Oryctolagus cuniculus: one gene and its partners. The main gene of each other region encodes a partner of the protein of the gene in region 2 in a complex. Links are inferred from orthologs where the notes say so. Each region holds a gene or a part of one and is shown on either strand. Other genes may lie near its edges. The genes, in order: SRRM2, SNRPD3 and GEMIN2.

Region 1 (3,645 bases), on a different chromosome or scaffold from region 2:
CACACAGGGCGGGCAAGGCCAGCTGGTGAAGAGCCTCACACGCCATTCCTGCAGAGGCGGGGCTTTGTCCTGCAGGCCACAGGGCGTCCCGGAAGGATTTGTGGAGTGGAGGGAAGTAACCAGATGTGCGTTTTAGAAAGATCCCTCTGGCTACGTGTGGAAGAGAATGGCGTGGAGGCAGGGAGACAGGGAGGAGGCTGTGGACAGAGTCGGGAGATGACGACGGTGGCCAGACCAGAGCCCTGGCAGTAACAATGGGGAGACTTAAAGCTAGAATCCCTGGGAGCAGGCTGCATGGTGGGGGAAGGAAAGGAAGAGACTTAGGACTCCCCGGCTCTGGCCTGAGGATGTACTCTGATCCTGCAGCCTTTGCCAGACCAGGGGTTACACAGAGCAGGTGGGGCAGGAAGAGTGCCCCAACTCCTCAGATATGACCAAACACCAACATCCACATGAGACACCCAGCAGGGACCTCACCCCAGGGTCCCTTCTCTGGATAAGTCACCCCCCACCCCTTCTATTTCAGGCAAGGCAGTACTCACCTCCGCTCGCCAGGGGGTGGCTTCTTGGGGCTTGCAGGTTTGGGCAAGGCCTGAGGGCCAGGCTTAGCAGGGGAGGAGGAGGAGGAAGAGGAGGAAGAAGATGAGGAGGAAGAGGAGGAAGAGGAGGAGGAGGAGGAGGAGGAAGAGGAGGAGGAGGAGGAAGATGACGAGGAGGAGCTAGAACTGGAACTGCTAGAACGCCTCTTCCGTTTGGCTGGGGTTGGCTCTTGGGGACGTCCCTCTCGAACAGCCTCCTTTGGGGCCGGGGTGGGGCTGGGGACCCTGCAGGAGAAGAGGAGTGTCACAAGGAGACAAGCTGCCCCAGCCCCCACCCTACCCTCCTTGGTCTGGAGGAATGGCAGTGGGGGAGGGGTGCCTGAAGAAGGCCCTGGGAGCTCTCCCAGCCTTGAGGACACGAGCCAGTGAGCACGTTCTCTGGAGAGCAGTGGCCAGAGCTAGCCCAACCTCTGCTAACACAAGCAACAGGCTGGGGCCCGCAGCACTAGGGAGTCAAGGCTAAACCTCAAGAATGTCCCTGATGCAGGAATAAGGCCCTGGGTTCGCGTGCGGCAGCTGAAGCTAGGTGGTCTCCTTCCTGGGAGAGCCGCAGCTTGGGGAGGCCCCTGTGAGTGCAGGGTGGCTTGGGAGGGGCCGTCCTGCCTGGAGGCAGGGAGAGGGATGGGATGACCTCTGAAGATCCTTCCAGCCCAGGGAGTTCCTCTTGAGGTCTAACTGCCATCCCTCCTGCTGTAAAATTAAGTCCATTTCCTCTAGTTCTGTCCTCTGTAGAGACGGAAAACTTATCATTATCCTCTAGAGAATCAACCTTCGGAGACTTTCATCTGTCCCATTCCTCCCCCCTCAGCCCCCACCCAAACATTTTCTTCTACCCCAAGCTTCAAAGTCAAGGTCCCCCATACCTCCTCAAAGAGCCAAGAACCTCTGTGACACGGTTATCTCCCTCCCCACTCCCCCACCCAACCCCAACACCTTCCCCTAGAAAATTTCTTAGTCAAGTCCCCTCACCTCTTTAGTGCCACCTCAGGTTGAGGGGGAAGGCTAGAGCCCTCCGAGTCGCTAGAACTGGAGCCAGAAGAGGATGATGACGACGATGACGAGGAGGAGGAAGAGGAGGAGCTGGAGGAGGAGGAGGAGGAGGAGGAGCTCCGCCGCTCCTTTGCTGGCTGCAGGGCGGCCAATGCAGACTGCTGGGACCCAGGAGGTGATTCCCCACCCTCGGGGTGCGACACCCCTGGGGCAGGGCCAGAGAGCATGCCATTGTGGTCACCAGCGGAGGACATGGTCTTTGCCACTGCCCCAGAGGAAAGGGGCTGAGGGCCTGCTACAGAGGTGGTCTGGGCCATCAAAGAACGAGACTGGTCTGAAAAAGCAGACGGCACAGGGGACCTAGGCCTATCCTGCGCTGGAGGGAGAAGAGACTGTGAGGAGGTCTGGACCATTCTCGAGACAGGGGACGGGGCCCGCTCAGAGGTCATTCTAGATTGGCTAGGGACAGATGGCGGTGTTCTGGACCTAGCTCGGTCGAGGAGCTGTGGTGAGGTTCGCCCACTGACTCGCTCATAAGCAGAAAGAGGCACCCTGGGACTGGTGAGGTTTGCACCGGACAATGCTGGAGCCATCCTAGCACTGGTAAGACCTCCAGGAGCCAAGGCTGCAGGGGTCCTGGAGCTGGCAATATTCACAGGAGCCGCACTATGTGCAGACCGGGGACCCACCAGATTTGCAGGGGCTGGAGCCTGGGGTGTTCTGGAGCTGGAGGGGTAATTTGCAGCAGCTGGGGGCGTGCCCGAGCCTGTGAGGCTCAAAGCTGCCAAGGCTGCGGGGGTTCTGGCTCCTGCTAGGTTCACCGCTGAGGCTGCAGGGGTGCGAGGATCAGCAAGGTTCACAGCTGATGGTGCCACCGCCGTTCTGGGACTGGCCAAGTTCATAGCTGCTGCGGCAGCTGGTGTTCGTGAGTCAGCCAGGTTCACTGCTGTTGGAATGGCAGGTGTCCTGGCACTGGCCAGGTTCATGGCTGCTGCAGAGGCTGCAGGAATCCTGCTCGCAAGGTTGGCAGCTGGGGCCGTTCTGAGACTCATGAGAGGCACTGGAGCTGGAACCTGGGACATTCTTGCAGCAAGGCCAGCAGCAGACATGGACGGAGGTGGTCGGGCAGTGCCAAGACTGATGGCTGTCAGGGCAAGTGCAATCCTAGACTGGGCATGATTTTCTGGCACAGATGCTCTGGGATGATCAGGTATCCGCGGGCCGGGACCGTCCATCATGGAGCCACCCGCCTGCTGCAGGACAGACATGGGTGTTCTAGAGCTGCCGAGGGGTTCAAGCATTCCAGGTGACCGACAGCGGTCGAGAGGAGTTGGTGACATGCTAGGGCGACTGAAGCAGCTCATTCTGGAGCTGTTGAGTGCTACTGGAGGTGTCCGAGAACCAGAATGATTTCTCGTTGCCGGAGGAGTAGCAGAACGTGAACGATCTGAACTACTTCCAGACGCCGAGCGCCTGCGAATGGCTGGAGGAGACCGTGTTAAGGAACGCTTGCCTCGAGTTGTTCGTGGAGTACGGGACCTAGAACGGCGGCGGATAGCAAGTGGTGAGCGACTGCGGGACCGCTTGCGAGGCAGCAGCGGTGTGCGAGACCTAGAACGGCGCCGGATAGCTGGAGGTGTCCGAGACCTCGAGCGGCGGCGTGTCACGGGGGAGGTTCGGGAGCGAGACCTCCTCCGAGTGACTGGAGATGTGCGAGACCGAGACCTCCTGCGAGTGACGGGGGAGGTTCTGGATCTTGATCTTCTGCGAGTAATGGGCGAGGTTCTGCTCCGAGACCGCCTCCGGGTTACCGGGGGAGTCCTTGATCTGGATCTCCGGCGAGTCACTGGTGGAGTTCTGGACCGGGAGCGCCGGCGTGTTGTCGGTGTCCTGGACCTTGAACGGCGGCGGGTCACTGGTGGTGTTCTGGACCGGGACCGCCTTCGACTCACTGGAGATGCTCTTGACCGAGATCTTCGCCGAGTCACGGATGTCCTGGACCTCGACCGTCTCCGACTAACTGGTGAGGTCCGAGATCTGGACCTCCGCCGGCTGA
Region 2 (3,745 bases):
CACTGTGTGGGGTGGTGGGGGTGGGAGGGTAATGGCCCTGAACCTGAAGAATTCTGCTGAAGGTGGTAACACCATTTCTCTCAAACAGGCCCCAAAACATGGGAGAGGCTGGCACTGTGGTGTAGCAGGGGAAGCCACTGCCTGCAACACTGGAATCCCATACGGGCACCGGTTCAAGTCCCAGCTACTTCACTTCTGAGCCTGCTAATGCACCTGGGAAAGCAGTAGAAGATGGCCCAAGTGCTTGGGTCCCTGTACGTGGGAGTCCTGGGAGAAGCTCCCGGCTCCCAGTTTCAGATCAGCCCAGATCCAACCACTGTGGCCATTTGGGGGAGTGAACCAGTAGATGGAAGATCTCTCCCTCTCTTTCTCTGCCTTTCAAATAAATAATAAATCTTTAAAATGGGGAGTTGGGAGGGGACAATTATGGGATGGAGAAGGCAAAGGCCAAAGTTAACTATTCCAAATCTCCATACGGTTCTTTGCCCCAGTACTGTCTCTTGCTCAGGCCCACAGTCCCGGAGCCCGCGGCAGCGCCTGCCACACGTCGGGCACAATGGAGACGCCGCCAGCCTCCCGTACCTGGCAGTTCATGTTGTCTTCTGCCTCGATGAGCTTGCCCCGATACACCTCGCCGGTGTTGGTCTCGCAGGTCACGATGTGGCCCTCGGCCTCGTGCAGGACTTTGATCGGCACACCGATGGACATCTCGGCAGGAGGAGAGTGCTGTGGTGGGAGACACAGCAGTGAGCCCAGCCTTCAGAGCCAGAGGCCGCGTGTGGTGCGCACCATGTCTCCCCAAGGCCTGGACCCCATAAAACCTAACACCGGTGCCAAAGCTGCATTTTCTACACAAGAGCAGCTCAGCTCCTGGCTTGGAGGAGCCTTCCTGGCAAATACACACAATATGAAGAGGGGAGAGACAGCGTGCTGGACAGAAGGAAAGCTCACGGAAAGGAAAAGAATCTCCCACCTACCTCCCTACTCCTCACCTGCTCCCATGTCCCTTTACCTAGAGACAGAGTAAGGGACACAGATACAGATACAGAGAGAGAGAGAGAGAGATCTTCCATCCGCTGGGCCACTCCCCAAATGGCTGCAAAGCCTGGAACTGCATCTGGGTCTCCCTATGTGGGTGGCAAGGGGCTCAAACCTCAGGCCATTATCTGCTGCCTCCCAGGAGCACTGGCAGGGAGTTGGATAGGAAATGGAGCAGCTGAGAATCAGCCTGGCACTCTCACGTGGGTGCCAGCGTCACAGGTGGCAGCTTAACCAGCTGCCCCACAACACTGGCCCCTCATGTCCCTTTTCCTTGGCCAAGATAACCAGTGACCAATGTGGTCTGTGTGTTGGGAGAGAGGCGCTCGGAACGTCCATGCTGAGCAACACATCTGCCTATCCACAGCTGTGGGTGACTGCATCCTGAAAACCACGATGGGGTGCAGCGGGTACACCGGCATCCCACAGGGGCACTGGTTCAAGTCCCGGCTGTCTACTGCCACTCCAGATCTCTGCTGATAGCCTGGGAAAGCAGGAGAGGATGGGCCAAATGCTTGGGCCCCTGAACCTGTGGGAGACCGGGGAGAAGATCCTGACTCTGGCCTGGCCCCCAGCTCCAGCCGTTGCAGTCATTTGAGGGAGTGAACCAGGGGATGGAAGATCTCTCTCTCTGCCTGCCCCCGACCCCGACTGTGTAACTCTGCCTTTCAGATAAATGAATCTTACAAACAAACCAACCAACCAGAGGACCCAGACATATCCAGGAGAGGAGGCTGTGTTTTTATTTCAGCCTCTGACTTTCCATTCGCTTTACTGTTAAAGCTAAAGAGAAAACAGCAAAGCGGTCACAAAGGGACAACGTGTAGGAAACTGCTTATCTTGGAGGAAAAACACAAGGATCTGCCGACGTAGTTGAGAGACAAGCAGTGGAGTTTTTATTGAGCCAGGTAAGGACGCAAGGCTGGCACGAAATAAGGGAGAACACGACAGGGCAGCCAGGCTCGCTCCGTGAGGATCCCCAGCCCTCCGCCGCCAGAGCTGGAATGTTACGTTTCAGAGAGCACGGAACCAGCGCGGGATCTCAAGGAAGGAACGACCCAATGGAAAGGTATCAGCGTTTACAGGCCAAATCGAACACACAGTTCAGAAGCAGAGGAACTTCGGAAAACGCTTTTGCAATGGCGTGGAAAGCACGAGGGGCTGCATCAGCGCCGGAAAAGGGGGCTGGAGGCCAAGGATGACGCCGATGGAGTTCAGGGACGAGGCTAAGCAGCCAGAAACGAGGGGGAGGTAACGAACTCACTCCCCAGGCTCAGGCGAGGCGACGCGGGTGTCTGGGTGTCCCGGCTTCCCGCTTCCTTCCCTCCCGGAGCCCTGCGCGGTTCCTTGCAGCGCGTCCTGCCCCAGCCCCCGATCCCTCACGAGCGCCTAGGCCTCCCCTTTCCCGTCCCCGGCCCCTACTCACCGGCTCGAGCCCCTTCTTCCTCCTCTTCGGTGCTGCGACAACAACTGCGAGAGAGAAGGCGTGAGCGGGGCGAATGGCGGGCCTTGCACTCCCAGAATACCACGCGCTCCCAGAATGCCGCGCGCGGGGACCGTCCCAGAGCGCGAGCTCGTCTCCGCTTCCTCCTTACTCCGCCGGCTGGGAAACGCGGACCCAGGTACGATAGTTCCGGCGCCGGAAGAGAGGGCTGATGACAGGGCCCGGGGGCCGCCGGAAGCCCCGACGCGGGGGCCCGAAACGGGAGAGGGGGGCTTGCGCTTCCAAGCACCCCTCACAAAAGACTGGCTGGACGACAAGGAGGGGATCTACAGCCTGGGTCCTCGGATCCGGGGCAGCAGGAAGTGGGAATGAGGGCTGGGACCTCCCCTCACAATTTAATCTTTGGAACCCGGCACTGCCAGGTAACGGGAACTCTCAGAGAGGGGAGGTGTCGTGTCTGGACAGAGAAACTGAGGTACCAAGTGGAGCAGGGGCCGGCTCAGCACTAAAGAGATCAGAGTACGGTTGCCTGGACCCTAGGCAATCACAGGGCCGGAGCCGGCTTACAGCTGAAGCCGGCAAAGGGGTGGGGCCTGGCAGAGGCGGGGCTTGCTGAGGGAAAGAGCCCCTGGGGAGCCAGTGTTTGCGCTGCGCCGAGCCCTCGGGGAGGGGCTCAGAAGGGGCGGAGCTTCCGGGGGACCGAGCGAAGGAAGGGCCCGCGCGTCTGCGCGAGGATTCGGTAAGGGGGCGGAGCTACCAGAAACCGAGACTGTGAATGGCCAGGCCGGGCTTAAATCATGAGGCTGGAAGCCTCTAGGAATCGAAGTCTGGGACTGGGAAGGGGCGGGGATTAGGGGAGGGGCGGGGCCTCCGGATCCAAGACCTGGAGTGGCTGGGGCGGGGCTTGGGGCTGCCCGGCCGCCGCCTCCGCTTCTCCCCGCTGTGGCGGTGGCGGCGGCGGCTACGGCGTTCGACACGCATTGGCTGCGCTCCTGCGCCAGCTGAAGCCGAAGCTGCAGCCCGCAGCGGGCCGGGGCCATGGGCGCCCCGTGCTGCGCGGGTCATGAGGACGGAGGCGGAGGCAGCGGGGCCGCCGCTCGAGCCGGGTCAGTGCCTCTCTCTGAGGGCCCAGCCCTCAGCCCCGGGGAATGAGGGGGACCCCGCCCTAGCGCGGAGCAGGGTCCATCCGCGCGCGTCCCTGGCCGTCTCTGCCCAGGCTGTGGAGCTGTAGCGAAATCATGGCCAGGTGGACACCCTTGCCTC
Region 3 (3,645 bases), on a different chromosome or scaffold from region 2:
CGCTCTCTCTCTGCCTCTCCTCTCTCTGTGTAACTCTGACTTTCAAATAAATAAATAAATCTTTAAAAAAAAATAATGGCCAAAACTCCAGCAGGCATCTGGAATCCTGAGATGAACCTGAGGAAGCCACATGTGGCAGAACCCAAAGGCCTGGGTTACTGCTATATTACATCTTGTCTGCCTACTTCCTTTATCTGAGGACAACAATGCCATTTTATTTAAGTTGCTAGTATTTTCCACTTTCTTGTTATGTGGCCAATTCTAATTGCAACTAACAAAATATGCCAAAGGTCTCCCTTCTATTGGAATTTTTCACCACTATAAAAACTGCTGGATGCTTTCAATTTGGAAAAGTGAGGTGAAACTTACCACTAAGAGCCTCACTTCAGAGCACCTTCTTGCAAGCTGCCGAATCAATGAGTGAGCCTCAGGTAATAAAGGTTTTTCAAGACAAGCCAATAAAGCATAAAGCCATCTTCCCTAAATAGGATTAAAAAAAAAACTATTAAATCACAAGTTTAAATATTCTAAGCTGTGCCTGGTTATCTTCCATGAATAAATTCATACAACTCATTACTGTGTTACATTTAGACCCTCAGATACACTCTTTCACAAATATCTTTAGCTGTGAAACACTGCTGGTTTCTAAAAACTAAATCTTTCAAAGATGATAAAATTTATTAAAATTAGAAAGAACAAACAGGTAATTCATTTAAAAATATTCATCAAATTAACCCAACTTTTAAGGCCAAAAAAAAATGAGTTGTGAATATAAAGCAATAAAGTAAACACAGTGTAGCATAGTTCTAACAGTGTAGAAATAGAGCCAGACTGCCCTGACTTGAGTCTGAATTCTGCCAATTACAAGCTGTATTATGTTAATTGAGTATTGTGGATAATAACAGTTAATAAATTGTTGAGGGCCCAATGAATTATTATATGTAAGGTTCTTAGAATAATGTCTAGCATGTAGTACTTGCTGTTGTTGTTACTTCTGATCCTTTTGTGGACTGATTTCAAGGTCATTTTAGAAAATGCATTCTAAACTTTAACCAGTGCCACTGGAAGTGGGGTTTGCAGACTTGTTGCCAGCCTGTGAGCACACTGTTACTGCTCAGCACTGAGATAAGTAGTTTGTACCAGGATATAAATTAACTCTTTGGTTGACATTTGTCCTCTTCCCCCTCCCTGCCAAAGGAAGACTTTGTCAACGAAGGAAGCAGTATGTTGATTTACACCCTGGTGTAGGTTCCTTATTGCACCACAAACAAGCATAGTTCAGATTACACGTATACTGTCATGTATCACTTAAGGACAGGGCCACATTCTGAGAAATACATTATCAGGCTATCATGTCATTATGCATACACATAGCAAGTACTTACACAAACTAAGACCAGGCTATATAATCTTAGAGGACCACTACTGTAGATGAAGCCCTCCTTGCCCAAAAACATCATGGTGTGGCACAAGGCTAGTAACACATTTGAGTATACACACACACACACACAAATACCATACAGTCACACCTCATGTATCCTATGAAAATAAAACTGAATTATGAAAATAAAAAGATAACACTACCAATTCTGGAGTAAAGTCTCTTTCTCCAAACCAATTACTCAGATATTCCAAGACACTAGTTACTGTTGCCTAAAAAGAAGGGGGGGGGGGGATAGTGGCACAGAACAGTTATAATATTAGTAATAAATACTGACAAATTCAATAGGAGTTTCACTAAATTTAGTTAGAAAGCAACATTTAAGATTGTCTCATTCTTTAGATTTCCAAAGAAAACTGACTCATTAATAAGAGTCACCTCTGGGAATAGGCTTTCTTTTTTCCAAAAAAACCAAAGAAACCTTTTATTTAAGGAATACAAACTTCAGAATTTCTTAAGTACAAATTTAGGAATACAGTAATTCTTCCCATCATACCTGCCCTCCCTCCTACCCACACTCCCACCCCTCTTCTTCTTCCCTCTCCCATTCCCAGTCCCATTCTCCACTAAGATGCATACCCTCCAATGGCCGCCACGGCCAGCGCGCTGCAGCTGGCGCACCGTGCTGATCCGAAGCCAGGAGCCAGGTGCTTCTCCTGGTCTCCCATGGGGTGCAGGGCCCAAGCACTTGGGCCATCCTCCACTGCACTCCCGGGCCACAACAGAGAGCTGGCCTGGAAGAGGGGCAACCGGGACAGAATCCGGCGCCCCGACCGGGACTAGAACCCGGTGTGCCAGTGCCACAAGGCGGAGGATTAGCCTACTGAGCTACAGCACCGGCCCTAAGATGCATTTTCAATCAACTTTATACACAGAAGATCAACTCTATACTAAGTAAAGAGTTCAACAATTTGCACACACACACACAAAACTGTTTCTCAACACTTGAGACAAGGGCTGTTCAAGGTCATTATATCTCGAAGTTAATTTTACCTTTTTTTTTTTTTTTGAGAAAATTAAGTTTAAAGAAGCATTCAAGAATGATACATCTTTTGGGAGCAATTAGACATAACTATAACTTATGAGACATAAGACCTCCACTTAATAAAAGAAAATAAGTCCTTGAGAACAAATTTTATCATTAGTTAAGGAAGCACCTAAGAAAACAAGCAAAGGAGTTGGACACTTAGGCAGATGTAAAACTTATGAGACTTAAAAATATCATTCACTTAATACACTAAAACAAAATAAATCTTTGAGAACAAGTTTCACTGTTAACTATGATAACACAACTCTTTGGAGGACAGAGGTCTTGCATGGGAAGTTAGTGCACAATGACTCCTGTTGTTAATTTAACAATTAACACTCTTATGTATGATGTCAGTGACCACCTGAGGCTCTTGACAAGTGCTGTCTAAGGTATGTAAGCCTTCTGAATTCACAAACTCCGTCAGAACTGTATGGACTTATTTTCTTTTACTGTATAAATCAAGGTCTTATAAGTTATAGGTATGTCTAATTGCTCACAAAAGATGTATCGTTCTTGGTGCTTCTTTAAAGTTAATTAAGTCAGAATTTGTTAAAATTTAGACAAGGCCATAAGCAAAGTGGAAGTTCTCTCCTCCCTGCAGAAAAAAGTACATCCTTCTTTGATGACCACCACTTCTACTGGAGTTTCACCCACAGAAGTCCTTCATGTAGGACATTTTTTGCCATAGTGTCTTGGCTTTCCATGCCTGAAATGATCTCCATGGGCTTTTCAGGTAGACCAGAATGCTTTAAGGGCTGATTCTGAGGTCAGAGTGCTACTTAAAGCAATTGTCATTCTATCAGTCTGCTTTATGAACTGATGCCCATGTTGGAGCATTGACTCCTTTTTAATTCTATTATTACAGAAATGTAATCCAGACACTTACTCCTATTTATATGAATGCTTTAACACTTAAAATGCTATTTTTACCATCCAGCTTAAGGGGATTTGGGGTGGGAATAGGCTTCTAAGACAAATATTCCTATACTTTCAAATATCAATGAATGCCTTGATTAAAATACTAGGATTTAGTTTGTAACTACTAATATAATTTAAAACTATTTGAAAAACTTGACAAACTCTTCAAAAAAAGAGTCTTTACCTTTAGTCCATTTCTCAATTCAAAACAAAGTACAAATCTGAAGAAACAAATCTAGAAAGACCTGTTTTACAG

Evidence for each region.
Region 1: SNRPD3 (region 2) and SRRM2 share a complex: the UniProt entries of both Homo sapiens proteins name them as parts of the minor spliceosome. The link is inferred for Oryctolagus cuniculus from reciprocal best matches to the Homo sapiens genes SNRPD3 and SRRM2.
Region 3: SNRPD3 (region 2) and GEMIN2 share a complex: the UniProt entries of both Homo sapiens proteins name them as parts of the SMN-Sm complex. The link is inferred for Oryctolagus cuniculus from reciprocal best matches to the Homo sapiens genes SNRPD3 and GEMIN2.

What each region holds. Positions count from the first base shown.
Region 1 is NC_091450.1:32,552,312-32,555,956, forward strand, and holds part of SRRM2 (serine/arginine repetitive matrix protein 2), read right to left. Parts: coding exon 1,569-3,645; intron 1,326-1,568; coding exon of another isoform or gene 1,313-1,325; exon of another isoform or gene 825-1,312; coding exon 543-824; intron 198-542; coding exon 1-197. UniProt on the Homo sapiens protein: Required for pre-mRNA splicing as component of the spliceosome. As a component of the minor spliceosome, involved in the splicing of U12-type introns in pre-mRNAs.
Region 2 is NC_091452.1:31,112,577-31,116,321, forward strand, and holds the start of SNRPD3 (small nuclear ribonucleoprotein Sm D3), read right to left. Parts: upstream 2,579-3,745; 5' UTR 2,465-2,578; intron 727-2,464; 5' UTR 709-726; coding exon 583-708; intron 1-582. Other genes in the region: protein GUCD1, read left to right, coding at 2,694-2,904. UniProt on the Homo sapiens protein: Plays a role in pre-mRNA splicing as a core component of the spliceosomal U1, U2, U4 and U5 small nuclear ribonucleoproteins (snRNPs), the building blocks of the spliceosome.
Region 3 is NC_091443.1:36,514,696-36,518,340, forward strand, and holds part of GEMIN2 (gem-associated protein 2), read right to left. Parts: intron 1,654-3,645; coding exon 1,585-1,653; intron 481-1,584; coding exon 370-480; intron 1-369. UniProt on the Homo sapiens protein: The SMN complex catalyzes the assembly of small nuclear ribonucleoproteins (snRNPs), the building blocks of the spliceosome, and thereby plays an important role in the splicing of cellular pre-mRNAs.